Schizosaccharomyces pombe: one gene and its partner. The protein of the gene in region 2 purifies or fractionates together with the protein of the main gene of each other region. This does not show direct contact. Each region holds a gene or a part of one and is shown on either strand. Other genes may lie near its edges. The genes, in order: trx1 and mxr2.

Region 1 (15,611 bases), on a different chromosome or scaffold from region 2:
CGTCAATTTTGCTAATTTTGCAGCATATTCCAATTCCAATGAAATTCTTTATAAAGTAGATTAGTCAAAGTTTGAAATGAATTATTACACATTTGTGTCAGTTCGAAATATAATAAGGATAACCCATCATTAAAAAAATACTTAAAAATTAATGATTCGAGAGTATCAAATGGAATAAGATGCTTCTCTTCGAAATTAATTTAAGCTTCAACTTACCTTTGTTCAACAAGCTGCTGCCAATTGTTAAGCGCCTCAGTGCTGATTTCTGTACTGTACTCGTTTGAAGAAAACGAATTCATTATGGGGGTATCTCTTTCTTAAGTTAATTCGTATAATTCAGCTTAATGAGACATTCATTGTTTTTTTTTGAGTTGGTAAAGCATGCGACACTGTCAAGTTTCCAACGCGCATTAAATTTGAAGTAACAGAGGTTAATGCTGTTATACTATGCCGAGGGCAGTGTAAAGAATATGCAGAAGCTCTAATTAATGAATTTTTTATATCTATTTATTTATTTATTTATTTATTTTATTTGAATTTATTTTGATATAGGAAATAATGCTAGATTATTGTTGATCTGAAAAACAACTACGGCTTTCCTACTTTGAAATCTGCTAGATAAATTAGTAGATAACACGTAAATTGAATGCCTGTTCTTTTATAGAAATCTATTGTAAAAAAAATAAACATTCAGCTTTTGCCGGGGGGATGTATATCTATTCTCTAGTTGATTCAATTAGTATTGATAAATGACCTTTAAATTTTCTTTGATATACCTTTTCTTACATACATTAGATATACATTTGACATATCTAGTTTCAAACAATTCAAGTAGTATTTTCAGTTTTTTGCAGCTAGCAGACAAAATATACTCAAGCAAATTGCCCACATTAAAGAAATGCTTCAAACCTGTTCCGTTTTATAAAACGTAAGCATACTTAAAAGATTTTTCAAACAATATATTAGCTAACTAAAATGAAACAAATGATTAAAAAATTTGAGCTTCCAATATACTTATCAGAAGCAACTGATAAAACTAAAAAGAGCGGATATCGCATACAGATTTAAAAAAGAAGGACAGTAACATAGATATCAAGCAAATTCTCAAAATGCGCAAGGAAAATAAATAAGTTAATCAAACAAGATCCATTCTTTAATTGTAGATGTTAGAAGCATACGATTTTGGAATACGGACAGTTAACGTGGGTGCCTCCATGTCCTCCGTCTCGTTTCCTTTGCGTAAAGAAAGCGCATGATCAAATTCATTAACAACAAGGGCCCATTCAACTAATGCACGGCTGGTATAGACTAACCTTTTGCCGTTTACTGAAACACCTTTGATGCTTGACAAGGGGCAGCTTATATGATTGCTGTTGTACAGCAACATCTTCGACTGGACAGGAAGAACTCCATGTGATGAGCGCTCTAAGAGAGCGTCATATTTTTCCTTGTTTTTCCCGAGGGAAGAAAGAGGTTGGGATGGAGAGAACTTGAAAACAAACCGGTATTTCAATGTAGATTTTAACATTGAATCAGGATTATCTACCAAATCAGTAAACACATATGAATTCGAAGCAGAAAGAGTATGATGATAAGCAATTTCAGTTTCAGCAGGGAGACCAGATACATTTTTAAAAAGCGACCCAAAAGCTTTTTTCAAACCACTCGAAAAGCTATTTGAAATTGAGACGACATCAGTGACTAATGCTTGAATTGTGCCATCATCTTGTTTATAATTGGAAAGCTCAAATTCGGTACTCTCCGAATTACCATAATTTTGATAATGATTACAAACAATGGTTAACCGCCTCATTGGAACAGGTTCACTGGGTTTTGTGATAGGAGATGCCCTACCGTTTACGAGACATTCTTCGTGGTAAAGAGCTTGGGCTGTGAAATAATGCTTTAAAAGGTTTTTTACACGTAAAGTAACTGTACCTTTAAATTGGAATTCTTCCATATCATCAAGCTTTAAGAATCTCCAACATACAAGGCGCTGAAAATAAGCTCTCACAAGAGGCGACCAATGAAGAAACAATTCCTGGAAAGTATTTTCTTCTAGTAACCATTGCAACGTTACCAATTCTTTAGATTTTATATCTAAATATGGCCAGACAGCATAAATGAAAGTTATACTACGAACAATGGACATATTGTGGGAAGTTGATATTAATCTTTTGGCAACTGAAATCCAAAAAGAAAAATCAAAACGGTGTGAGAAATCGTTAAATACCCCGAAACACTGTTCAACAAGAGAACACAGCAAGAAACAAGATTGAAGATTAAAAGCAGGGGTGTTTTTGGCAACATTAATTAAAACTTGCTCTAAAACGGCTAATAAACGCATCTGCTCTTGTCTGCAATCCCCAATCTTTTTAAAAGCATCTTTAATATGTCCGACAAACTGTTGAAGAGTCGATAAAGTCGTGGCAGTTACAGGCATCTTAGGATTGTATTCTTCCATTGATGGATTTACTTCTGGTAAAGTCTTACATGGAAACTGCTCATGTCCTGTAGGTAACATTAATGGCTTTTTGTCGCTAATATGTATAACCGAAATGGTTAATTCAAGAAGATAAGCATGTAAGCATATGTAACCTGGAGCGAAATATATGACATTATCAGGTAATTCGAAAGAGAATTGCAAAGCTAAAAAAGAATGATAGCATGATAAAAACTCGAAAAAGAATCCACCTGTAGAAGACTTAAAGCGACGCATCCATGCTCGTGTGAATTCAATAGGCTGCCTATTGTAACCTATAGTAAAAGGCGTTGAAGTTCGTTTTGGGTAATACGGATGCATAGTCGAGGAAAATTGGTCAGTAAAAAATGGCGCAAGATACTTATGTGAAATAATCATTATTTTTTCGTCGAAGGATGAGCCCAAAGCATCAATGTACTTTTTCTTTACATCTAATGCGCTCAAGAAATGGTCGGCAAAAAGTGGAAGTTGAAAAAAGGAGAGAACCAAGATACTCGCACAAAATGTCGTTAATGAATACGGCAAGGACTTTTGAGAAAGCAGATGAACTACAAATGTCAATGTATCGTAAAGTATTAATTGGTGTTCCAAGTACAATAAAGCAGAGTGTTCCACTTTGTTCCAACAATGATGCTTGGCGATAGCAAGTATGGCCTTTGTATATGTGATACGTTCTGAAGTAGAAATATTAGATTGTAAACGTCGAAGAATGGATACCCACCAGTTATACAAAGAATGCCTAAGTTTATCCAATTCCGGTTCGGAAACGTTTTTAGTGGTTAAAGAAGCCAAATGTGGTAATAAAAACCCTCTTATAAGAACTACCTTATCAGAATCCTGCTGATTAATAAAATTGATGAATTGCTCGGATAAAGGACACTTTATTGGAGAAACCAGTGGCTCCGAAAGACGTAAGGTAGATTGGACGGCCTTATTTATTAAGCTAGAAGGCGCTATCTCCTCCGCATTAAGGCGTAGGCTTTGAGAAGACAACTGAGAAAAAGGAGAGGTAGAACGAGAAGAGGAATCAGAAGATGATGATGAGGGTGATTCGTTGTAAGGCTCATTTAAGATTGTTGAGGAATGGCTTACTAAAGTGTTTTCATATTTACCATAATCATCTGTAATCGAAAATGGTTCAAAGTTCGAATCAAGGTCGTCAGCTACAAGCACATTGGTTGTATCGACGGGATCATGTTCCTGAATACATTTTACCACAACAGGATAGTTTTTTGTTTGGGAACCCGAATGCTCTTCCTCTTTAAAGGAGGCTGTATTGGGAGGACCCATAATAGCGGCAAGGATCTCATATCGTGATTGAAAGTCACCCATTCAGAATTTCAGAAATGAAGCTAAATGTAAAGAAAAGAATAAGTGTGAAATGCAAATAAAAAGAATATAATTAATCCCTAGATTAAAACCAAATTAATTAACATGAGCCGTGCAATCACCACTAATAAAGAAATGAAGATTTAAAGGACAAGCTATGCAAATGCCAGAAAAAAATGTACCAAATATGCTAAAAGATGCTCAAAAGTTTTTCCTACAGTAGAGAAATTTTGACTTTTTTAATTTTTTAAAAACTTTATCGATAAAAGACAGAGAAATCGGTAACCAAAAGATTCGCGGTTAAAAAAACAAGAAAAATACTTCCGAGTTTAGAATACTTGTATTCTAAAAGAATGAAAAGTAAACAAGTAGAAGATATCTTTAAATTAAATATATGAAATCCGCAATGTAAATTAGCATCCCCAACACTTTCGTTCACACCCAGTGTAGATGCTTGGTTAAGGCTGAGTTTCCGAACCCACCAGCTTGAGGGTATACGGCTACATATGACATATATTTCAGTAGACAAACATAATAAAACCAATAATTAAAATTGTTTTTTTAAGCTAAATGAAAAGACATTTGAAATTTTAAGCTGTATTGTCTTACAGCTTCAACTCAGTGTTCATACAATGCCAATCTCCTTTTGGTAGTTAGTACCCAACAATCGCCTAAACCAAATAGAACCCGCCAACTTACCAAACAAAACGGAATATAAGGACAGAGAATAACTATATGCAACGGATTATAAATAACTGATATTGAGTTTTCTTTTAGATCAAATATTTCAAGTTTAATGTTGGGGAATCGCGAATGATAAAGTTAAGCAATACAATAGGTCAGTATGCGTTTTCGATTGAATGATTCATTCTCCGGAAAGAGTTGGACCATAGATAATGTACAATGGACTCCCCAAAATCTTGTAGCTTGGATTATGGAGCTCAATATTGGACTTAGTGATGAAGCAAAACTATTATTGCCGAACGGAATGTCTTTGAATGAAACCGTACTAAATAGTGAAAGTGATGTGGTTATTTACGTACTAGATCAAAACTTGTTGACTTTCACCTACGATGGTGATAAAATTCCTTCTATTCCTTCTCTGAAAGGACAACCAATATCTAATGTACTTACTGGGATTATAGCTGATTCTTCTTCAGATCAATGGAAAGATAAAATCAGCAAGTGTCTTTCATTATTATCTGATATTTTAGAGTCTTCTTCAAAGATTCATAATCAATTAAGCGTATGCCATGATGAGTATTCTACTAGTATTGTTTCTCCAGAAGTTGCAATGAATTATTTACAAAGAAGACAATCTGGTATGAAAGATTTACTTTTCGTTTTCTACGAAAGACTAGATCGAGTATCTGTGTCTGATTTACTTCATGATTTCCTCGCTCTACCAACTGGTTCTTTACCCATTACTCCTCTTAAAATACTTTCAACAAATTGGACTAAATTGGACTCCTGGTTAAACTCCATTTCAGCTCGTTATGCTGAAGCTCAAAAACGAGTCCAACAGTGCATTGGCGCCGCAAATAGTATTATCGTTTCCCCATTCAAGGAAGTTCCTTCAATCAAGGAAGGAGATGATGCTTATTATCATCTACGTTCCGTCGCTCAGGATGCAGCCAATATATTGCAAGAGATCCTTAAAATAGAGTCAACTTCAACTACTTCTCAAATCAAACCAAAATGTAATTACGAAACCGAAATTACTGATTGCATGGAAAAACTTCAAAGTAATCTGTCGGAATTAAAAAGTTCTAGAAAGTCATCACTAATATCTTTGAAATCTTTTTGGCTTTCCTTTTATAAGGTTTCTCTTAGATATGATGCATTGTACGAATATCTTCGACAAATAGCAGAAGAGCTTGACAGAAGCAAATTCGTTCTTTCTCAGTCTCGAAACATTTTTTCGCTATATATCGACATTTTAATGGAGGCACTGAGGAGGACTGAATGGCAGGAATCATACAATGTAAGCCATGATAGTTCTCTTCCTTTAGACCAGGAGAAGGAGCTTTCTCTTAGGAAGTCTTGGCTCAGTCATTTCTCTAATTTGCTTTTTAATCATGGCCAGCTAAAGTACTTACCAGTTTTAACTCGTGACGAAATTTCTAATTATTTACTCAATATTCAAGCACATCCGAATTACCAAACTTTTCATCAAATGCTAAGCAATCGGCTCTCAGAATATTTGGGCTTTCCTGGAAGTCCTCGAGAAGCCGTTTCCAATACGGTTCAAGCGAACAATTCATTACATGAAAAATTGGCAATGTATCAAAATCGTTGCAATAATTTAGAGGCAATGTTAAGCCATCAAAACGGCTTTAATTATAACATTAACAATGATGGTTTATCTCCAAATGCTCCACATCCACCCATCAATGAGCAGTCTAATTCTTCTCAGCCATTTTACCGTGTTTCCCCTAGTATTGTGCCTCTAAACGTAATTCGTAAATTAACTAATCGCAAAACTTCTTTTACCGACAGCCACATATTACGACTTCAAGATGAGGTTAATCAATTACGCAACGAATTAGATTTGGTAAATAAAAGAAATGAGGACTTATTAATTGAGCTTCAAGGGAAGGAAGAAAAGATCCAATACCTCGAAACTGAAAATGAGGAAGTGCTACAAAAATACGAAAATTTACAGGAGGAACTTTCATCAACACGGAAACTGCTTACGAAAAATGAAGCGGCAGTTGCAGAACAGCAATCAAACGAGGAGATGCATTCTAATGAACCGAACATATTAAACCTTTACTCCGTATTTGAGGGCAAAGTTGATAGCTTGCAAGAACTTTATAATGCTTTCAAGCTTCAACTCACGAGTTTGAAGCAAAAGGGCGAATACGCTACTCTTGCAAAAGATGCCGAAGCAGTACAACATATTATTGAAGAGAGAGATTATGCTCTTGCAGAGAAAGCTGATTTACTCAAACTTTCCGAGAATCGAAAAGAACAATGTAAGATATTAACTCAGAAACTTTATACCATTGTATTCCGGTGTAATGAGTTACAGTCTGTTCTTCGGGAATGCGTTACTCAGCCTGGATTTGATTCAGATAACGAAAGAGATGGCCATGCATCGATTCCAGATCGCCAAATTGAATTTAATTCCAAAGATTTACAGTATCTTTATTGGATGGATGGGGAGGATGCTGATAGGAATTTCCAGGAATTTTTGAACAGAATGAGTTCTTTAGATTTTGACTCTTTCCATAACTTTGTTGTCAGTGTTTTGACTCAAGCACATAATCATGAACTTCGTTGGAAACGTGAATTTCAATCTAACAGGGACAAGGCGCTGAAAGCTATTTTGGACTCTCAAAGTAAAGTCTCATTAAGGAATTTCAAACAAGGATCCTTGGTCTTGTTTTTGCCTACTCGACGTACCGCCGGTAACAAAAAGGTGTGGGCGGCTTTTAATGTTAACGCTCCTCATTATTATTTGAACACTCAACCGCATTTGAAACTTGAAAGCCGCGACTGGATGTTAGGAAGGGTAACTTCCATTGAAGATCGTACTGCTGATGATTCGACGGATAAATGGCTTCGCCTGCCTTCAGGTACAATATGGCATTTAGTGGAAGCTATCGATGAAAGATTTTAAATCATTATGTGACCTAGCTTATACCTTCACTTGCTTTTTCTTTGCTTGTATTTGTGGGACTGATTCTATATGACAGACATTTGGTATTATCATACTTCTATTTTTTCAGGTTTTGATCTGTTATGGCATTATTTACTGAAATTTGTTTTTTGGTCTCGCCTAGTAAGGTATCCGACGTAAATTAACGACTACTATTGCTGTAGCGTGTCTCTCGTCTTGTAACATGATAAATTTTTAATGAACTTTTAATCTATTCGTATATTATTTAATATGTAGAACGCAATCGCTCGCAATAAAAGTGATTTGCAAATATTATTTATCACACCGAACAACGCACTGGTGGTAAGGAGTACCTTATGTAAATTGCTTTGTGTAGTGTGTCCCATCAAAGTACAACCTGGAATTATGATTCCCTCAAAAAATATCCAAAAGATCAAGTTGGTTACGTTCGATGCTTTTGGAACAATCCTTCATTTAAGTAAACCTGTTCCAATTGTGTACAGCGAAGTCGCTCAGAAGTATGGAGTTCATGCAACTATTGATGAAATTGAACACAATAGTAATAAAGGTTAGCTTTTGGTTTCTATTTATCTAATAATTTAGCATTCAAGGATTTCAGTGAAAAGCATAAGAATCATGGAAAAAAGTCAGGATTAAATCCTCATGACTGGTGGATCAAAGTATGTGTCTGAATTTCATTGAGATTTGTGTTTTGTAAAGAATTGAATCTCTTGATTTCTAAAAAACCTTTACATGCTAACAATTTTAGGTTATCGAACATTCTTTTCCAACTCCTGTTCCTGCAGAAATGGCTGAAGAGCTATGGAGTTACTTTTCCAAAAAGACGGGTTACACGATTCATCCTCTTCTGATTGATTTCCTTAAGAGAAATAAAGAAGAGAGGAAATACATTATTGGTATTATTTCAAACACAGACGAAAGAATTCGTACAGTGCTTGAAGATTACGGCATAGATCATCTAATAGATATATATGCGTTTTCGTACGACGTTGGATTTGAAAAACCAAGCAGGGAAATATTTGATTATGCTATGGAAAAGGCTGTTAAACTTCTTGGACAGGAGATTCAACCAGAAGAATGTATGCACCTAGGGGATGATTTAATAAAAGATGTTTCAGCAGCAAGAAACATCCAATGGAATGCTGAATACTGTGACATAAAAACCAATTTCCTGAAATATTTTGAACAGAAGTAAAATAAACGCAGTCAGGTTTACCGCGTATCCAACATTCATATCTGGACCCCTTCTTCAAGGACCTAATGTGACAATAAAGGTTTCACATTTGAAATGATAATTTTTTCTTATAAATGAATATTTCGTCAGAATTCTAATAAATGTATAAATTGATTATATTTTCAACAAAGCTCTGTTGTTCCTTTGTGTACTAGCTTTTGACATTGAAGAAAAATTATATTTATGTGATCCTTTTAATTTTTTAGAGATTGATCTATTGTTGTTTTCATTATACAAGGGCGCAAATAAGTAAACAATGAATATTCCGAAAAGACATGAACATGAAATGGCTAATGCATATGCATGCTAACGAAAATTTAAAAAATGAAGAATATGCCGATAAACGCAATAGCAATCCTTTTTATTTTCTAATTTGAATGACCATTCTAGTCGCGTTATTCCAAGTCTAGCATCCATGCTACGAGAATAATCGTTAGACCAACAATCTAGGGCTCAGTTATGCATTTGCTGTTTTTACGGGTTCAAAATCTATACAGAGTAGCTCACAAAATTCTTTTCTTTAATGGAGTGTATACTCTATTCATAAATATTGAAATTCGAAGAACTGACGCAAACCGAGCAAATTCGATAAAGCATTTATTTAGCTAAAGGGATTTATGCTTTTAAATTATCTAAATTTTATTTAACAATTAGTACTGGCTCTATATTTAATATTTTTAAGACATTTACATATTCACCATTATTCCCTCGAAATGCCAATATGCTGATATAAAGAAATATTTATTACGCTGCACTAGCTATAGTAAGATAAAAGTTGCTTTCTCACATGTATGCCTGCGTTTATAGTCATTCCCTTAAAAAGCAATTATTCTAAACCTTTTATGAAAAATATATTTTGAAGTGCAGTTGAAGCTGGTAGAAGTTGATTTTACTTATTAGCTTATTAGAACTATTACAAGTTACGCTAAATATGTTTTTTTCATAATCCATACTACGCTACATCAGACAAGAGGCGCTTACAGCGGTCGAATGTATCCTTAAGAAGTTCACATTATGCAAATAAACAGCAAATCACAAAATTACTTTAACGAGGGAACTGAAATATATAATGAAACCTTAGTAAAATGTGACTGTCAATGGTGCAAGCTATAAAATCAGCAACTTGTTTATTCTAATATTTGCAATAGTTGTGCGGAAAGCACTTGTGTTCTTAGCAACTGTTTGTTTTATATTTTAGAAACGCTTTTTTAAAAGTAATAATGAGCATTTGATAAAAACACTGGTGCTAATTCATTTCAGTGTCGAATGATTAAATGTATGAATTTTTATCAATCTGTCAATCCCCTGAGATTTTCATTGAAGAGAATATTCATCGAATTATGACGGCATAAAGATACGAATTAAAAGATTAGACTAATGTTCGTTTTTATAAGATGTTAATTTTCAAAAATTTATAGTCGGTACACAAATGAAAAAACTAAAAATTTTGTTTTTTAAAAACCATGAGTAATTAAAAGTGAAGTGTTTAAGCTTTTTATAAAGTTTATTTTGCGTATTAGTAAAGAGGGATCAGGGTTTTCTGTAGTCGGATGTGTATAGCTTCAAAATAGTAATAAGCGGCACGCATACAGCGATTAATGAAGATAGTTTAGTACTAGGAAAAACATTCCATGCGTATTCTTGTAACATCCATAAGCCAATTACTATCGGAGCAGGAAAACTAGCTTGATAGCATAGATATGGTGAATACCAAGCAAACCATGCATAAAATTGATAATGCAGGGATCTTGCACATAATATACCAATCAAATTGGATGTTGCTAATGCAGTAAAGATAAAATTAGGAGTTGCGAGTTGGAGTTTTGGTAAAGGCTTCAAGGTCAGCATGGAGTTTACCATTGCAAATGGTGTTGCTCTGCTCAGTTTATTCCAGTGTTTGCAGGTAAATGCAACTAGCAAAGCAACATGAAGAAAAAGTATTGATGTGGAAAATGATGTAGACTCAAAAATGCTGCGTGGAATGAATCTCCAGTTTACTGTCCACTTATAATCGAATGCTCTGCCAAAATCAAAGGCTTGAGTCCAATACGACCAAAAATAGGCAAGGAAGGGAATAGAAAATAAAATTTGTACAATTATAATAACAAAAATATGCATCCAGGTCTTTTTGGGCCCCAAGATTTGGAGCAAAAGAACTAAATAAGCTGGGACATAAAGCAAGGAGGACATCTTGACAGAACAAGCGACACTTAGTAGAATTGAAGCTCTAACCCACTTTTTTTTGCATGAAGACAAAATAAAAAGGGAAGAGAATAAACTGTTGAATCCATCGTTAAATAAACGTAAGATAAATATACTGTGTAGACGTTTTGAAAGTATAAGCAAAACATATATATAAAAAGGAGCGCGGACAATTTTAAACAAATACCCTACAATAGCCGTTGTAATCCAGTATACAAAGGCAAAAATGTATTGCGCCCTTACAATGTTGGTCCCTCCATCAGTAAGGTAGTACAAAAGGGTGTACAAAAATACGTGCCCTCCAGGGTAGACCAGAGGGCCTGTACATCCGACAAGAGATTTATAATCTCTTTCTCCTAATAGAAATGAATTCACCTGCTCCATGTAAGCAATCCAGTCTATCTCCGTGTAGGGAACTTTGGAAATAATAGCAAAGACAAAAGGAATTTCCAACAGAAGGAGCCTTGAAGGATGTAACCAGCCATAGGAACCAAGATCAAATAATACCCGAAAAGGATTAAAAGAATTTCTTGTCTCAACTGAAGACATTGGTTAACTTTTGATAAAATACGAGACTTTAGCAAATAATGTAGACAGATCCCAGGTTTTTAAGAGTAACGCTTATTATAGACAATGGAAAATTGGTAGAGTTCTTTCACATAGAAAGGAACTCCTTTTTGTTTAAGAAAAATTGTGTTTTTAATGAAACTCGTTAGACGAACAATGTATGTTAGGATGTAAGTGTTAAGAACATGTCGACGGAGCGTAATCATTACTGTGATTTTACTCCATAAATGTGAAATTTGATTGTTATAAAACAATACTTAACGAGAATATTAAAGATTTTATTCTAATAGAATACAAAAATATGTTTGCTACTCAGATCAACATAAATATTCGTTGGGTTAATTGTATAATGTTATAAATAAAGAGTAGCATGTATTTGAGCATGTAATCAAAAAGGATATTTATTCATCCAAATGGTATCATTCCAAATTGGTATACACTCTCCAATGTCTATCTTAGAAGGATAGGAGAATAATGTAGAACAGAGTCACGAACGCCTAACCAAAAAGTCGTATTAAATATTACAAATGCTCAAGGCGGTCGCAAATTAGCTAGCTTGTCTGAAAAATGCCCATGACTAGATTACTACGCCTGGTCGATGGCACATTACTATTATTGCGATAATTGTACGCAAATCGCCGTTCTGCAACTTCAGTAGAAAAGATGCTAGGACAAAAATACTTTTCCCAATAAATTACAACGGTGCATACACAAAGAAAAGCAAAACATTTATTTTTGTTAAATAAAAATATTTTGTATTACAAGTTCATAACAACTAACTATCAGATTGCGTAAATTAGAGGTTCGCCTTAATAGAAGCCTCTAATTTAGCAGGATTAGCACCTACGATTTCTTCAATCTTCTCACCATTCTTGTAAAGGAAGAAAGAGGGCATAGCGTGAACGCCAGCTTCAGCTGCAATTTCACTTAATTGATCGACATCAACCTTGATGAAAGTGGCATCAGAGTAAGTGTTGGAAAATTGCTCAAACTTAGGAGCAATGGCCTTGCAAGGTCCACACCAAGTAGCAAAGAAGTCGACAACGACAAGCTTGTCTTGGCAAACAATAGATTTAAATTCAGAAGAGTCGGAGACTTGTTTCACCATGTTGTATATAAATGAAATGGGAAATTAAGTTAAAAATATATACTCAAATAAAGAAAAAATCGATTTAACGAGTAAACAGAAGTAAACCTGAAAAATTCAAAAGACGTTGACTTCAGGAGTGCAAATGAACTTTGTCTCTAGTATACTTATACGATGGTGCGACGTGCCCGTTTATATATTATTGAGAAAATGTGTAATTTATAAGTTCGCTTATTCTAGTAGAAAGATCGAGAGCGTACATTGTGCAATCACCGACGATGAGGTAATGAGCTACAATAACGAGGATATGGTGCCATTCTCTGCCATCAACCTACCAATTCGTTTCCTAATTTTCTATAACGCATTTCGGAGTAATACTTCATGGAATTACAACGAATCACAAATCGGAAACCTGACAATTAGTAAACAAAGCTAAAGAAGCCATCTTGTTGTTATGTCAGCTTGTTAATCGTGGATTCTCGACAAACATGAGATTATAAGCAATTAAAGCATCAAAATAATAAGTATGTAAATGTAAAGATTTTCTTTTTTTTTGGTAAGCTGAAAGATTATGCGTGCTCTTTTCTTTGCTGTACACGATCTAGTTAGTGGAGTCGAAGTAATGTTAAGAAAATTTTGTTATAACAACTGAGGTACTGATATGAAATTACAAATTAAAAGACATACAAAAATGTAAAATAGTGAGGCGATATTCCTACTGTTAACAAAATCCATTTTACATATAAATGGCGGTAGAAATTGGAAAAGGAGTATAAATATGCAGTTTATAACAGTGTCACATATACTTGAAATTCTGAAATCAAAAAAAAGTTAATCGCCAGTCAAATAATTCTTTGCGGTAGCTGAACTTTCGTTAGAACGATGAACGATATTTTAATTTATGTTTTTTCCATGCTACTTCCTCTAGAAACGGTGTATTGAACCATCGCTTTATATCAAATTCACGTTATGGCGAAATAGTACAATGCAGTTTTCAGCTTGAGAGGGTAACCTTTTACATACGCATCCACAGTCACTTTTTCTACAGCTACTTTGGCTTTAACAAAGTAGAAAGTTACATTTTTTTTTTTTTAATCAACGGCAATTATAGGGATGGTGAAGAAATTTTTTTTTTTGAAATTTTTTTACGCTCTTTCGAAGCATTCACATTTTAGACATCCAGAAGCTATTGAGCAGCAATATGTATTAAAGAATTCGAAAGTACCGTAAAATGAATTTTCTTTCTTCTTTCTTTTACCTTATATACCGGCAGTCTTTTTCATCACTGCAGTACTGATATTCACATTTCAAGTAGCAACCGTGCTTCGTTACTTTATGAGAATGCACGGCAATTCAGGCTTGGACCTAAATACTTGTATTCCCAACTTGTACCGAGCACAAGCATCAGAACTCATTTCCTACAAAGGATCATCTTAAAAATGACAGACGTTCAACTTCAAAATATCGTTACCACCTTTGGTATCTCCATGATGCTCTTAATCATCCTTTACCATTACCTTTCACGTCCTCAAGCATAAAAGAAAGAGAGATTCATGTCTGTTTGTCTAACTTACCTTTATAGCTGCACTCTTCGTCTACGTTTTTTAAATTAGTCACTCTTTCAATTAAGGGAAGTTACCTTTGGTATTGTTGTGAAATGGAATTTGTACCTGCATATCAAAATGATTATATTACGAAACAAAATATGTCTTATTATTTGTTCCGTTAAATATTGGATACACTTGTATTACTTTTTTCTTATTTTCCTATCTCTTTTTCCTTCCTTCCCTATTTTCTACATGCTGGCCAAATAACTTTTATCATCTACTGTTGCTTGTACTAAAGTGCAACATAAAATAATAATACATCTTTAAAGTTCGTCTCTTCTCAAACCCCGACTAAATATTAATACAAATTATCTTTTTTTTTAATAAATGTTATTTTACACAATCAATAAGAATCGCGGTATCCTGACGGCACGCTTTTCTTAGTATAGAAAAGGTATAAGAGTCCACCGAAAGTCCAAACTTTGTTCTTTGTTCTTGACCGTACAAGCATAAGAAGAAGAGATTGCTACCATATTGCAAAGTACCCATCCCAAGACTAGCCATATTAACCAGTGTTGGGCAATCAGTGCTATTCCAGTATAAACAATGATTTCTCCAAGGTAATGGGGGCCAGTTATCCATTTAAAACATCCTTTTTTTAGGACTAGATATTGCGAATGATTTTTTTGAGCAATCAAATGTTCATGACTTGCATTCTGCCAAATGCTGCCTATTGCGTAAATCCCCAAACCAACAAATTGCATGCTTGACATTGTATTTTCATAACTTCTTCTACCGCACAAAAGCAATGCAAGGAATGTATGTGTGTAAAACAGGTATCCCAATAAATAATGACCAGCAAGCATTTTCGAACCGCTTTTGCGAAAACGTAGATTCTCATATAATCTACGCAGCGTGTGAATTTCATAAATTAGTAGGAGTACTTGTAGCTTTTTACTGTACATCAAGTCCTCTTTGATATTTTTAAATATAGGAATAGGAAAATTGGTATTTAGGATAAAAAATGTAAACAATGGATTCAAGAGGGAAATAAACGCGTAAAAATGCCAAAACCACCGTTTAGGTACTTCAAGCTTGGTAGCAATTAGAGGAGGCTTTAACCCAAAATTATCATGACCTCCGTATTTCATTAACCAGCTTAGACTAGGCGCGTTTTTTAAAATACTAACAAACAGAGTTGTGCTCGTAAAATATGCAGCTACCTCAGTCAAGAGTAACGAATACCAGTTATTAAGCAGTTGCATTATACAATGCGGTGTCCTTTGTCGGATAAAAGATATATGTACTTTGTAAGTCAAAGTTGAATAGAACAAAGAATGTGATAGTTTTATGAAAGAATCAGCCTATTTTAATCATCCTCTGAGTATCAAGTTCTTTAATTATAATTGAATTTAGAATAGTACAAGTTTACCTAGGATGTGTTACAAACCTCTACGAACTGCTCGGAAATTTAGATACTTATGCTGATAAAAATTTAGAAGTCTCATACCTTCAAA
Region 2 (15,690 bases):
AACCTTCGTAAAGCACTTACAAGCACCCCCAACGTCACTGTAACCGAGGCCACCGTCAATGAACTTTTACGCGATGAAACTGGTGAGGTGATTACCGGTGTTGTTACCAGTTCTAAAAAGTCCGAGTCCCCTGTCGAGTACAAGGCTCCCTTGACCATTGTTTGTGATGGTTGCTTTTCCAAATTTAGAAAGGCTTTCATCGATCACCCTATCCAAGTCACCGATCACTTCTTGGGCTTGATTTTGACCAATCCCGATTACATCGCTCCTGGTCGTGGTCATGTAATTTTAAGCAAGGTTGCTCCTATGGTCCTTTACCCAATTTCCTCTACTGAAGCTCGTATCTTAATCAACTACCCTGGTAAGAATTTACCCCCCATGGAGACTCTTAAAAAATACGTTTTAGAATCATGCGTCCCAAACATGCCCGAAAAGCTTCGCCCTTCCCTCAAGGCCGCTGTTTATAACGATCGTCTTAGGTCCATGCCTAACCAATTTTTACCCCCCACTGTCAACCGTACCAAAGGTATGATCCTCGTTGGCGATTCAAACAATATGCGCCATCCCCTTACCGGCGGTGGTATGACTGTTTGCTTTCACGATGCCTATCTTCTTTCCCGATTCATTTCCCCTTCCGCTGTTCCCGATCTTCTAGACTACGAGCGCATTTTAAACCAAATGAACAAATTCCATTGGAAGCGTAAGGGTTACAGTTTTGTAATCAACGTTCTTTCCATTGCTTTGTACAAATTGTTTACCCCTAAAAATCGCTATATGAAGGCTCTTGAATCGGGCTGTATCGATTACTTCAAGCGTGGAGGTAATTGTGTTGAAGGTCCCATTCGTTTATTAGGCGGTTTAGACCATAGCCCTTCTCATCTTATCGGCCACTTCTATGCCGTCTGTCTCTATGGTATTTACCAATATGTCTTGTCTGGTCCTGCTTTGCTTATGCCCGTCCGTATCATCGAATCCTTATTGATTTTCTTACAAGCTTCGCTAGTAATTATCCCTTATATCCTTAGCGAAATGTCATCCTAAGTTTGCAGAATCAGTTCATTAAAATTAAATTATTTTTGATTTATGAATTGGTTGATTATGATTGTCTTGGCAATCACTGATAGCTATTTGGTTTTTGCCTTGTTTGGTACGTCGTTGTTTTTAAAGAAATAGTTTTAGATAGAGTTGGGTTCAAGTTTGTAATGACTTCACACTCTTTTTGTTTATTATATAAATCCCTCTGTTTTTCAAGAGTTATAAATTGCCGTTTTAATATAAAATACTTTTTTTTAATTTTTAAGCCTACTAAGTACAATTATTCGTCAGCGTTAAGTAAACAATTATCCCGAGACTACAAGACCACGATAGTAACATGAAAATTGGTATTTATTATTTTAAAAGTCCCTTAATGAACAACCCAAATCGTTTATATTATACAGATGAGTTTTCAAAACAATGATAAACCCGGGAACAAAAATACGATGTCCATATGATGATTCACTTGCATTACAATCTTCTAGAGTTTTTGGAGCTTCCCTTTTTATGTTCATCTTCTAGGAAGCGTAGCCATTCTGGGCAGAACTTGAATCGATAGAGAGTCTCTTTTTTGGTGATTCATCATCAGCTTGCTGATCATCAACTTGGAAATCCGATTTCCTTTTAGAATAACGGGTGTTTGAAACATTAATACCTGAAGATTCTGCAGAGGTATCATAAACTGCAGACTCAAGGAAATAACGATCCTCTAATATAGGTTGCTTTGGCTGCTCGCAACTGTCTTCAATATTTAGCTCAGCAGGGGCTATAGAATCAAGAACAGTACGTTGTCCAACTTTTTCTGATAATTCAGTATCGTTTTCAATAGAAAAATCTTGCTGTATTTCCCAATCTTTGGATACGTCGTCTCCAACACGTTGGTTATTATTGGAGGCACCGTCAAATTCATAACTATTTGATTCATGAGTCCCAACAGTTTTAGGGCTTCTTGAGTCAGAGCTTAAGCCATCTATTATATTTAAAAGCTCAGAAAAAGTACTGAGATTATTTAAAGATTCCAGCTGTGGTCGATAGTTTTTATTGAGATAATCCAGTGTATCTTCAGATCCCTCGGATCTTAAAAATTCAAAAAACTCTAAAGCAGCTGAGTTGACTAAATTAGTTTGGTCTTTGACCTTTAACATCAAGTCCAGAACTTTTCCGTATGTGTCAGTTTCTAACATGATCAAGGACATTTCTGACTGACGAGCGGCCAAACAAGAGCGAATAAATCTAAGGGCGCTCAAAACAACATATTTTCTATCGCTGTATAGTAATAGAGCCACTTTTGATGTAAGGGTTTTATATGTATCAAAACGACGAGACCAATAATCGTGTATACGAAAAAAATAACAAAAAAGCTCACACAAATGCATATACATATCAAGCTTTTTAACATCTAAACTCGATACATTTTCCAGCTCCAATAAAGGAGCAGCAAGCATATTAAAAGAGTTATCATAAAAATTTTCAATAAAATTAATTCCAATAATGTTATCGGTTTTATTTCGAACATTTCCATCAGCATTTCTGTAAGGATTATTGTATGCATAGCTACCAGGTAAACTTAGTAGCATTTTAAAAGCTTCAGAAATTTGAGCAAGTACTCCAGGATTTGATTCTTTATGCAAAATGTTAATTAAATTGGAAAGCAACGAATGTTGGGAAACGTGAGCATTGCTCAATGAAGAAGAAGCGTCCTTGCGATCTTGATCAAACTTTTGCCAAACGATGGCAGGTTCATGATCAATAATAGACACCAAAATATCGGAACCAGCATTTCGAACGGAATTGTTCTCATGTGACATTGCATAATCCAAAGCTTTCAGAAGATTAAATTTAACGAAAGTAGCAAATAATGCAGAGCAGGACTGGAATTGTAGCCCTTTAGCGATGTTGCAAACCTGCTGAATAAAGAATATACCGTCTTGCTTGCGTTGATCATCCTCGCCTTCATTCACATAAATGCTAAACAGTTCATGTAAAAATTTTTCATTTGTTTGAAGGTATTGAATAATATCAGCCTGGTTAAAGAAGATAAATGAATTTAGCACCGAAAAGGAGGGTTCGTCAACAATCCTTGAAACGACAACATCCCTTAGATACTGAAGCTTAAATGTCTGGTGAATTTTTGCAAGAATCCGTGGATCCTGAATGGGAACCACCTGCTTAAACTTTTTGGAATCCATTAAATATTCCCGATGGTTCGCTTTGATATTGGGGAATTCCGGATCGTATTCGAGAATACCAGCTACACACATTAGCTTTTCATCATTAGAGAACAACGATTCGAGTAAAGGGGCGTCGTTCAATTGCACTGACAGCGATTAGCAAGGATTTAACGAATCTAAAAAGTATAAAGTAGATTAACATACCAAAGCTTTTTATTATGGAACACAATCGATGAAGGTCATCTGTATTCTCTAGATCCTCACACAGAGGAAAAAGTTCAATAAGTCTATCAATATAATTTTCATTTGAAACATAACGAACCAAACTATCTCTTGATTGAATAGACTGCATATATCCATATACTGCTTCTTCAATTTCTTTTAAATTAGCAAGCTCTGGGGCTGGAAGATCGACCGTGTTTAGGTAGTTTTCATTAAGCGCCCCCTCATCCGTCAATATATCATCGTTGGAGTAACTTCTAGTTACCGATGATATTGCCTTTTGAACATTTGCTAAAAACATCCACATGTCTATACAACCGCTAGATTCTTGAAAGCTTAAAGCAAGATCAGTACCATTCAATTCTTGCCAGACTATGAGAGTTTCTTCTTGACGGCTGTATATATCTTCCGCAATCAATTGTGTTTTCAAAAGGATGGTTTCATTATCAGCTTCTGAACGCACAATGAAATAAGCCAACGGTCCCTCTATTTTTCCATCGCAATAACCGGTGCCACAGTCTACCCAGTTTTCATCTTCCATTTCGTACACTTTTACACGTCTGGGAATCGATGGCACTTCGATCTTCTGCAATGCAGCTGCAATTGCTTCGTCTAATTCCTCTTCTTCATTTTCTCCATCTGAAATTTCATCAATATTATTATTTAAATCTTCCTCTTCCTTCGTAGAATCCATTTCTACGGCGGATTAAGGGTAGACGTCAGCTTCGAATTTACGACGTTGGCGTTCGTCACCAAATTTTCAAAAGTGAAGACGAAATTCAAACGTGGTGGTGAATGAATGCAATACCGTAGATTGCACCAAGATTGTAATTATTAATAAATGTATTTCTCATTAAATGGCAATGCCGCTTTACTTAATTATTTGGTTTGCCTAAAATATAACAAATAGATTTGTTAAGCAGTGTACTATGTATATTTCACGTGCATAATTTTGAAGTGTTATGGCAGAATTATGTTCTTTATAGAGTCAAATAACTATTATATACGTGATCGTGGTGCTTTCAGTCACTATTTTTCATTGTAATTCGGTATCTGTTTACAACAATATCATTAACGGACGTTATGCATTTTAACGATGAGTACTTCACCGCTCGGTGTATATGCTGTAATCAATCCTTATATCGAGTTGTGTTTTAAACGTTTTATACTGTCTACAATTAGCATTTAAATCTTTTCGAAATAGTAAATAAACTAAATATGAATATAAATAAAGTTAATTATTGTCTAAACACATGTGTAGCCTCGTCAAATCAATTTTTTGCAAGTCAATCATGAGGCTCAGGGTACATTTGTAAAGTAATAGTTAATTTTTAAGTACAAACTAATGGTATTTATACCGATATATATATTGAAAGCTGCTAAAGCTTCGCTAGATATTCAAGTACTCTAGCAAATGCATCAATATAAATACAGTTTTTTTGCTTTTACTAAGTTTTATTGTTAAAGCGTAATACGAGAAATTTGCCAAATGAGAACACGAATTGAATTGATATAATTCCAGAAATAAAAATTATGTATTCAAGACGATGACTGTTGCGATATGCATGCTTACGAGTTTATCGATATATAAAAGACAAAGAGAGTTGAGCTTACCAAAACATATACTGATCCTTCATGGAGAAAAAACAAGATAACGAGGTGGAATTATATTCAATTGATTTAAAAAATAGAAATGAAAGTGCAAAAATAAAGCTTGCTTATGCGAAAGCGTTAGAGGAAAGCATTCTTTGTGAAACACGAAAAATCGAACAAGAAATTAAAGACCAAGTGGTTCAAAAGGAAAATAAAACATATTTTAATAACAAATTTGATAATCGATATAAATTACGCGACTTGGAAAAAAATTTAGCGGAGGAGGAGGTGAGAATTACGGAGATGCTTACTATTCAACGTCAAGACATTGCAATTGAAAGAAGGAAGAACACAAATTGCTTCAGTGAGTCTTCTCAAGTAGATCAATATTCAGTTACTGAAACCAATCTACAATATGCTACTAACATTGGCTTAAACCTTCTGCAACAGTTGCGGTATTTAAGGCTGCAACTGTCAGAGAAAGAAGATTTGCATAAAAAGTTGTCAGTGGATAATGCCCATTTAATCAAGCAACTTGATCTACTTTCTTCAAACATGAAAACACTTATGAAAGAGAAGACTAAGGTGCAAGGACAAAGGGATTTGCTTGAACAAAGACTACAAGGATTAATGAAAAAATTGACAGAAGTAGAGTCTTTGACCGTTTCACTTAACGATGAGAAGAACAAACTGACATTGGAATTAACAAATTTAAGAATTTGCCTTCACGAGCTTCAACTGAATGCCGAAAAAGGCGAAACTATAGATGAAAGTGAAGATTCTAAAAATACTTTGGTAACTGAGGATGAAAACGACGATTCTGTATTTTTGGAGTCTTCCTCGGATAAGTATTTTGATAGTTCATCTTTTGATGCGGAGCAAGAAGAGAAACACGATTTTCCAATAGATCCTTTTTTGTCGTTGGAATCCAATGTACAAACTTCGGTATCTCAATCATCGGCCGTTCTCAAATCCATCAATTTAGCAAAACAGGAGTTAGTGAGTGTAAATCATTTGGTAGCTGACGATACTAAAACACCGTCTCCAAATTTATCATCGGAAATAATTGAAAACACAAAAGCTGACATAAAGAAATCAATCAGGTCTCTGAACAAGGCAGTATCACCAGAAAACTCTATAGACATCGAAGATGAAACCGACAGAGATGATGAGTTTATTTGCTTCCTTTTGTCTTATCAGCAACTACAAAAGGCGCTGAAAAGTAACTTGGGCCTTTTTCAGCTTTCTTGCTTGTACCCACTTTCTCTGAATCATCTTATTCAGTCATTCTTTCAATCTCTCACCTCTCAAATTTCAATAAAAGATATTGACTCAAAAAATAAACAAGTCATTAAACTTTTCAAACCGACTAAAAGCTCAGATCGCCAGGAAATTTTTGAATTGGCTCAATTTGAACCTCGCCAAAAATTTCCTATAGATACGAATTCTTCAAAATGCGACATGTCTGCAAGTACTGAGATGCATTTGAAAGATACTGAAAAATTTGCTAATTTCAAACTAAAAGAAAACATTTTAAATCATTCTTCTATTTACGAACGTGATGTTTCTTACCTGCCTGCATTAAACAAAGGTGGACGTGAAAATTATTTAAACAATCGCGTCTCCTCTTATAGGCTTGTTAAACCTATTTTAAATTCCTATGGAAATCATGTATTAAACCGTATACAACATGATATTCTGGAGAATCACTTCTGTTGTCTAAAAAATGTCAAAGACTTTGTATGTGGTGCAAATACAATCTCCATGCAGTGGAATCTGCAAAAGAATATGGAATTTATCAGCTCTGTTTTTTCCTTAATAAAAAATGAAGTAAATGACACATCAGCTAATAGTGTCATTCTAAGGACCGATGCGCTTTCAAATGTTGCTACCACGAGGTTGAAAAGAAAATTAACTAGCGCTATTATTGACTGCTCGATTCCTCGTCGGAGGTTGCGCCACTATAGTAATCCAGAAATAGCTGAATTTAAGAATTTTAGATTATCTACGGATATTTCCCACAGTAATGTTAGGAATTCGAAAAAGCTATGTTCCAATGGATCTATGAATTGTATGAGGCAAGGCAAGGCAGTTTTTCCTCGAAAGATCCCATATCAAGAGCATGACTGGGAACAATGGGAAAAAATTGCTCAATCCTCGATGTTTAAGAATCGTTCAATTGCTTCACGTCAATCATTGGAAACTTCTGATGTTACTTTGGACATTAATATGTCTTCAAGACATTCAAACGGAACTTCCTCAATGCTTTTCAAAGACTTTACAAAACATAATAATTGGGAGGCGTCAACTTATCCGTCTGCACCTAAGAATACTCGTACTTATCCAACAGCTGAAGTTGAAAAAACTCGGCATGATTCCTCGCAATCAGCACGTCAATTGAAAGCAAGAAGTACGGCTACGACGATTTCTATTTCCTTGTCGACGGTGTCAGACGTATTCACCTTACCTCGCAATAATCTCAAAAGCAAAACAAATACGAAAAAATGCAGAGATAATTTGAATCTATCAGGTTTATCTTCTTCAACTTGTAATGCAAATTCTGTGAACAAATTGATGAAACATGTCATGATGGGAAACGAAATGATGAAGTACCCGAGAAGTGAGAGTTTCAAAATGTTTAAAAAGAGTCATTGGCGCTATTTTTGGATTAACCCGCATTGTGAAATGCTGTGCTGGTCTAAAACAAATCCATTTATTGAAAAAGGAAGGAAAAATCAAGTCAAGTCTGTGAAAATTAAGGGAATGACTATTATAAAAGCCCCAGATGCCTTAAAGAACGCCAATTTACATAATGAAGTTATTGTGATGCAGACAACTGATAAGCCCATCGTCTTAAAAGCGAAAAGCAAGAAAATTCACAATATCTGGGTTCAAGCTATCAAACAAATAAATCATAAGGCTATCTTTGATACTAAGCCCGGCATTTAAGCATGTTTCAGTCATTGCTTATAAGTTTTAAAGTAAACTGTTTCAATATTCCCTAACAACTTTTAAAGTTATACCAATTGTTTTTATTAAGCGGCATCAAATAGAAAGATATTAAACCACTGTAAACAACTAAGAATCAAATGTCTTAATCAGTTTTGTAAATGAGGTTTATACGATCAAGCTTTATTGCAATTCGACATGCACTAATGAGGATGATATACTTTCCTATTTTGTCGAAAAAATTGCTCTTTCTATACAATTCATTTTTAATCAATCAATTTATCATACGAGACATTTAAATAGCAAACAAAAGACGACTAACGTTTAAAGGTAACATCGATAATGTTAGTTTTATCAAAACAAATTATCCCGTATAAGCAAAAGAAGATTCAGACTTAACCTTGACGGAGTTTTATGTGCAAAGAATTAAACATTGCTATTACTGGTAAACATAACAAATCTGGGCGACTTTCAATTACTGAATGAATAATAAGCAACCTGTTAAATGATTTTAGTGCCCAGATGCACTTTCCGTGTATTACCCCAAGAACTTTTAGCGAAAGTTAAAAAGAGCACAATATATCTGGCTAGTTATTTTACTGCATCGTTACATCATGTTAAAACTATTAGAGCTTACCATACAAAAACTGAAAACGTCACATAATTAACTCGGTACTACTAATTAGGTAAACCGTGCTTTTGCTCATTCCCTGTGGTGTGTCTCTTCGATTCAATTTTGTAGATTGTTTTCATTTTCCTTATTCCTTTCTTTTTTTAAGAGGGGTTTGACAGATACACAGCATTTCCAATTCTAAAAATTACTCATTTTAACAATTGCCATTGCTTTTATTCAAAGGATCAGCTAATTAAGTTCCTTTTTCAATAAGGGAGAAGGATATATTGGATTCTTGATTCCCAACGGTTAAAGAAATCATCGTCAGCATTTTTATTTTGTAAGAAATGACTGTTTTTGTTGTTTTTGGAGGGCATGGAAAGGTGGCCTTGCTTTTTACTAAAATTGCTACAGAAGCTGGCCATATAGTTTACAATGTTGTACGTGATTATGTTCAGAATGAAGACATTGAAAAAGTGCATGGCAGAACTTCTGTCTGTTCACTTGAGAAGGCGACGCCTAATGATATTGCTCAGTTTTTAGCTGAAATACACCCTGATGTTGTTATATTTGCAGCCGGTGCAGGAGGTAAAGGCGGCCCTGAACGAACAAGAGCCGTCGATTATGAAGGTGCTATAAAAGTTTATGATGCTATGAGGATAGCTGGTATTCGACGCTTAATTATGATATCTGCGATAGATAATCGTGATATGAGCCAACCTCCTCCTCCTTACTATACGGCTGCTGATATAGAGCTAAGTGAGAAAATACATCAGTCAATTGGAACTTATTACCATTACAAGTACCTAGCGGATCAGGAATTAGTGCGACGCTCTAGTGATATTGATTGGACGATTTTACGTCCTTCTGGTATGACAGACGAGAAGGGTTCTGGAAAAGTTGCATTGGGTAAGATATCCATAAATTGTATGATGTCTCGTGAAAACGTCGCGCGTACTGTACTACTGTTCGCTCTTGATAATCAGTCCATCCATTTGGTGGTTGACATGACGGATGGAAATGTGCCAATATATAAAGCCATTGCTGGATTCGTCGTAAAAGGAGAATCATCCTATACTTATTCAGTATAATGTAATGACATTTTCGGATCCTTCGCGTATTATTGTAGTCCACGCATCTTTTACTCCTTTCTTAAAATCTTCTGAAAAAAGAACGAAAATTTTTCAATGACCTATGAAGCGTACGCAAATTAATAAATATTTAAGTGAGGGATACTTTAGTTATACCCTTTATAGTTGAAATAAATGGAAGATCATATCAGGTAGTGTAAACATTGTGTTATCGTTTATTAACTTTGGCATAAGCAGCTTAGTTATAACATACGGCTAGTAAATCTAATTTCTGACCTAGAGATTACTACACTCTTTGAAAACAAAATATATTAGTTTAAAATGTTAAAAGTAAATGCATTTTATTGAAGTTAACCAAAACGTGAACAAGCAACTTTAAATAAAATAATAGCCGTACATCAAGCACAAACAATTCGAACTGGTGCTAACATCTAATAAAGAAAATACAGAAATATTAAGCATAATCTAGTTCAATTGTCATTTGTTGCCTCATTATGGAATTCCAAACTCGCCGAATTTATACAATGGCGTTCGTCAGTAGGATTAGAATAACCTTCTCCTTTAAAAATATGGCCTAAATGACCACCACAGTTGGCACAAACTGCTTCTACACGATGCATTCCATAAGAGTTGTCTTCAATGCGTTTCACCTTTCCAGGTAAATTATCGAAAAACGCAGGCCATCCACAATGGCTTTCAAACTTTGTGCTAGCTTTATAAAGAAGCTCTTTACATGCAGCGCAAACAAAAACGCCCTGTTTAGGGAACTGATGAGTGAATCGTCCTGCACCTGGGTGCTCAGTACCCTTTTGTCTCATAATTCGATACTTCTCAGGACCTAGCTCCTTTTTCCATTCATCTTCGCTTTTTTCCAATGGAAATCCCATCTTTGTATTATTTTTGACGTTTTGGACAGGGTAGGAGACGTTATATGCACGTTTCAAAAGATTCGTAAACTTCGTATTTCCACAGATTGAAAAGTGTGTAGTAATCACTTTTTTCATGAAAACACAAGACGATATGTACCACAACTGGCACTACAAAAATTTTCAAGTAAGTAAACGACTTTTTGACCACTATTTATGTGAATAGGTAGGTACCAAGTAAAAACTGCTTAGTAAGTATAAAACACAGAAGAATCCGCGATCTAGTGAACCAATGCCCTGCGTATGACGCTCCACTGACGCTATAGTCAATGAGAACTAGGATGTGCGATTATAACTTATCTTTTCAATATTTTCTTATTATTTATTTAAGAAATAATTGAATTAAAACTCATTTCTTCTTTTATTAGCCGTAAAATAGCTTATTTTCTCTCCTACTACCTTTCAACAATAACTTTTTTTTTTGTTTATTGACCATTATAATCACATCAAAAGTCAAAAAATTCAATCATTATCAGAAACATCCAGCCTAATATTACTTAAAAGTTAGTTTCCTCTGAAAATTCAGTATCACAAAAGCTCGTTAATTAGCATCGCTCGATACTTAGTGCACCATGCATCTTCCTTTACCTCGTGAGTGGAAATCGATTTGATAATCGATTGCCACTTTTCGCATAATTCTATTGAGATATTTTATTACTTACAATCGTCTTTTATAAATGCTCAAGACTTTGAACGCGCGTGTTGCGTTTTAAAAAGGCCTTTTTTTGAATTGAATCAATGGTTTGATATAGTATGAGCCAACACGCAAAAAGGAAAGCTGGGTCACTCGATCTTTCACCCAGAGGCTTAGATGACAGACAGGCTTTCGGACAGCTTTTGAAAGAAGTATTAGCATTAGACAAAGAACATGAGTTAGGTAGAAGTAATTCTTTACCATCTATGACCTCCGAGCTTGTTGAAGTTTTAATTGAAGTTGGTCTTCTAGCTTTTAAACATGATGATTCAAAATCTGAATTTATCTCTCCTAAGATGCTAAAAGAAGCCCATCTCTCTCTACAAGCGTTAATGCTAATCTTAAAAAGGTCTCCGACAGTTTTGCGGGAGATTAAATCATCTGTTACTCTTTTGGATTGGATTTTACCCAGGACTATATCATTGTTTGCTGATATTCGTTTTATTAAGTTATTTGACTCATTAAAAGAGTTTCATAAGCTAATTTATCAGCTAATCAGTGAAAAGTCATTCCTATGGGACTTATATGCTTCGTTTATGCGTTATTGGAAATATTATATTACAAACGTTTCTTCTATAGTTCTCCAAATCACTAATGCTACATTCCCTTACAAGATGCCCTCACCCAATTCTCAACCATTGCAGAGTATCACCCCAAATTATCCAACCCATCGAGAGGACAAATTTGATTTACTTATCATTAATATAGAGGAGGCTTGTACATTTTTCTTTGAAAGTGCCCATTTTTTTGCACAATGCTCATATTTAAAGAAATCCAATTTTCCTAGTCCACCTCTCTTTACAGCGTGGACTTGGATCAAGCCATGTTTTTTTAATTTTGTTATTTTATTAAAACGAATCAGCATCGGAGACTCACAGCTCTTTCTACATTTGCATTCACGTATAGTCCAAACTTTATGCTGTTTTTCCTTGAATTTTATATATCATGGCCTTCCCATTTGTGAAAAATCTAAACATATTTTAATGTCCTCCATCAACTTAACATTGGGATCATTGAAGAAAACTTATACAGTTGCTAATACTGCTATATCTCTTTTTTTTCTCTCTTTATTTGTTTTACCCAAAACTGTAGCTGGTCTATTCTATCCTTTTGGGGTTTCCTTACTTTCTGACTTCAAGGTATTAGAGCAACTTGAACCAGATTCTGATCTCAAAAAGGCAATAATATTATTTAAGTGCAGATACCAAAGTTCAGAAATAGATCAAACAACTCTCCGTGCTTTTGGCGAAATTTGTACTGGTAAACTTGAAAACACGTTGTTTTCTAACTCTGAATTAAACCTTTTTCTTTTACATTATCTTTCCTTGGACAATGACTTGTCAAATATTCTTAAAGTGGATTTCCAGAATGGTCATAACATATGTACATTTGCAAAATGGTGTATAAACAACAACTTAGATGAACCGTCTAATTTAAAGCACTTTCGTGAAATGTTAGATTATTATAGCTCTCATAATGTTACAATAAGTGAGGACGACCTGAAGAACTTCTCTTTAGTTTTGTGTACTCATGTTGCAAAGGTGAATGAGAAAACAAATAGTATTTTCCGCACATATGAAGTACATGGTTGTGAAGTTTGTAACTCATTTTGTTTACTATTTGATGAGCGGTCGCTCTTTAAAATTCCTTATCACGAATTGTTTTGTGCATTGCTAAAAAATCCCGACATAATTTCCTCTTCTGTTAAACAATCATTGTTGCTTGATGGCTTTTTTCGGTGGAGCCAGCATTGCTCAAACTTTAATAAAGAATCAATGTTAAGTTTAAGAGAATTTATTATGAAAGCATTAGCCAGTACTTCAAGATGTTTACGTGTTGTTGCTGCAAAAGTTTTGCCCATTTTCATTAAGGGACCTAATAATCTTGATATAGTTGAATTTCACAAGGAAAGTAAAGCCTTGATTTTTAATACGTTGAAAATATTGGCGGTGGAAAATACAGCTATTTTAGAAACGGTCATTCTTTCCTGGATCTCCTTATCTAGAGTGGTAGAAGAAGAAGAATTACATTTTGTACTATTGGAAGTTATATCTTCTGTGATAAACAGCGGAATATTTTATCAAGGCATTGGTCTCAGCGCTCTGCAACAAATTGCCTCGACGCGTCATATATCCGTTTGGCAATTACTTTCTCCATATTGGCCAACAGTGTCCGTTGCGATTGTCCAAGGTATGGGTAAAAAACCGAACATAGCCAGTTTATTTGCTCAGCTTATGAATATTTCCGAGGGCGATTTTCTTATTCGAACACAGGCGTACACTTTACCATTCCTTGTACTTACTAAAAACAAAGCGTTAATAGTACGTATAGCTGAACTTTCACAAAGTGATGTTGCTACTTTGTGCCTTACCAATATGCATAAAATCCTTGCTTCGCTACTTACTACGGATCATCCTAATTTGGAAGAGAGTGTGATGCTTCTTCTTTCACTGGCCACTTCTGATTTTGAAAAAGTTGATTTAACGTCTTTGTTACGCTCTGATCCTATTTCTATTACTGTGGAGTTGTTACAGCTTTATCAGAATGATGTTCCTCATGAAAAAATTGAAAATGCTTTAAGAAAGGTAGCAATGATTGTCTCTCAAGTGGTTAATGACGAAGACTTGAGCAATAAGGAATTACTTTATGATTTTTTTAATAATCACATTTTGGGTATCTTAGCAGAATTTTCTAATATCCTTAACGACCTGAAAGGAAAGACTTCAATTAATGAAAAGATTAAGACAATTGTCGGCATTGAAAAAATGTTATCTTTATGTGGAGGTGCAGTCAAACTTGGATTACCACAGATACTTTCTAATTTACAAAGTGCTTTTCAAAATGAGCACTTAAGGTTTTATGCAATCAAAGCTTGGTTCAGTTTGATATTAGCAACCAAGGAGCCCGAGTATAGTTCAATTGCTGGTTTAAGTCTTGTAATTTTACCTCCTTTATTCCCTTATTTAGAACCACAAGAAGCAGAGCTAGTAATTCAAATATTTGATTTTATTTCTTCTGACACACACAAGTGCCTACAAGGATTAAAGTGGGCTATCCCCACCAGTCTGGATTCAGCGTGCTTTAGCCTTAAGGCTAAAGAAATATTCTGTTCGCTTCAAAATGAAGATTTTTACTCTGAGCTTCAAAGTATAATTAAGTGTTTAACTAACGAAAATGAGCCAGTTTGTTATTTAGGTTTACAAAAATTAGAACTTTTTTTTCAAGCCAAGGTGGACGAGTTACATGACACACTAAATTTGGACATATCCAACGAAGTTCTGGACCAATTACTAAGATGCCTTTTAGATTGTTGTGTAAAATATGCTTCAACAAATATGCAAATATCATATCTTGCTGCAAAAAATCTTGGTGAATTGGGTGCGATAGATCCCAGCCGCGCCAAGGCTCAACATATTATTAAAGAAACAGTTGTTCTTGATAACTTTGAAAACGGAGAAGAAAGTTTGAAGTTTATTCTAGATTTTATGCAATCGCAGTTAATTCCAGCTTTCCTTGTTACTACTGATACTAAAGCACAAGGTTTTCTTGCCTATGCTCTGCAAGAGTTTCTAAAGCTTGGTGGATTCAAGTCCGCAGTGATTAATAAAAAAAAGGGACTAACTGTGGTAACAGAACATTGGATGTCTTTGCCTGATTTATCCAAACGTGTGCTTATACCATTTTTAACTTCCAAGTATCATTTAACACCAATCCCCAAAATTGACATTCGGTACCCTATTTATAAAGAAAATGTTACTATTCATACTTGGATGCAGTTGTTTTCTCTTAAATTGATGGAGTACGCCCATTCGCAAAACGCTGAAAAAATATTTGGTATTTGTTCGAAAGTAGTGAAAGACCAAGAGGTTAACATTCCCTGTTTTCTTCTTCCCTTTCTTGTTTTAAATGTTATTTTAACCGAGTCAGAACTGGAAGTTAATAAAGTCATTGAAGAATTCCAGCTTGTTATTAATCAACCGGGACCTGATGGATTAAATTCCGTGGGGCAACAAAGATACACCTCATTTGTAGATGTATTTTTTAAGATTGTGGATTACCTTAACAAATGGCTTCGCATGCGAAAGAAGAGGAATTGGGATAGACGTTCTGCCATTGCAAGGAAAGAGAACCGTTATATGTCGGTGGAAGATGCTACCTCTCGAGAATCATCGATCTCAAAAGTTGAGTCATTTCTTTCTCGATTTCCTTCAAAAACATTAGGTATTGTCTCTTTAAATTGTGGATTTCATGCTCGTGCATTGTTTTATTGGGAGCAACACATACGTAATGCTACAGCTCCATATGCAGCTTTAGAGTCCGATTATAGAGTTTTGCAGGAAATATATGCTGGAATTGATGATCCAGATGAAATCGAAGCAGTGTCTTTAAATTTCCA

Evidence for each region.
Region 1: the proteins of mxr2 (region 2) and trx1 purify together in Schizosaccharomyces pombe (affinity purification with western blotting, with the first as the bait; one study listed by BioGRID). This does not show direct contact.

What each region holds. Positions count from the first base shown.
Region 1 is NC_003424.3:2,622,414-2,638,024, reverse strand, and holds trx1 (cytosolic thioredoxin Trx1), read right to left. Parts: upstream 12,693-15,611; 5' UTR 12,569-12,692; coding exon 12,257-12,568; 3' UTR 12,170-12,256; downstream 1-12,169. Other genes in the region: sfp47 (SH3 domain-containing protein), read right to left, coding at 1-46, 217-299; protein ahk1, read right to left, coding at 1,154-3,814; autophagy associated protein kinase regulator Atg11, read left to right, coding at 4,656-7,436; SPOM_SPAC7D4.05 (hydrolase), read left to right, coding at 7,842-8,004, 8,040-8,116, 8,206-8,652; dolichol-P-Man-dependent alpha(1-3) mannosyltransferase Alg3, read right to left, coding at 10,222-11,442; SPOM_SPAC7D4.08 (uncharacterized protein), read left to right, coding at 12,693-12,983; oligosaccharyltransferase subunit Ost4, read left to right, coding at 13,987-14,085; dfg10 (steroid dehydrogenase), read right to left, coding at 14,535-15,359. UniProt on the Schizosaccharomyces pombe protein: Participates in various redox reactions through the reversible oxidation of its active center dithiol to a disulfide and catalyzes dithiol-disulfide exchange reactions.
Region 2 is NC_003423.3:893,012-908,701, forward strand, and holds mxr2 (peptide-methionine (R)-S-oxide reductase Mxr2), read right to left. Parts: upstream 10,773-15,690; 5' UTR 10,562-10,772; coding exon 10,145-10,561; 3' UTR 9,906-10,144; downstream 1-9,905. Other genes in the region: squalene monooxygenase Erg1, read left to right, coding at 1-1,041; serine/threonine protein phosphatase PP4 regulatory subunit 3 Psy2, read right to left, coding at 1,554-3,352, 3,411-4,122; dynein-anchoring factor Num1, read left to right, coding at 5,064-7,970; SPOM_SPBC216.03 (uncharacterized protein), read left to right, coding at 8,931-9,674; ATR checkpoint kinase Rad3, read left to right, coding at 11,354-15,690.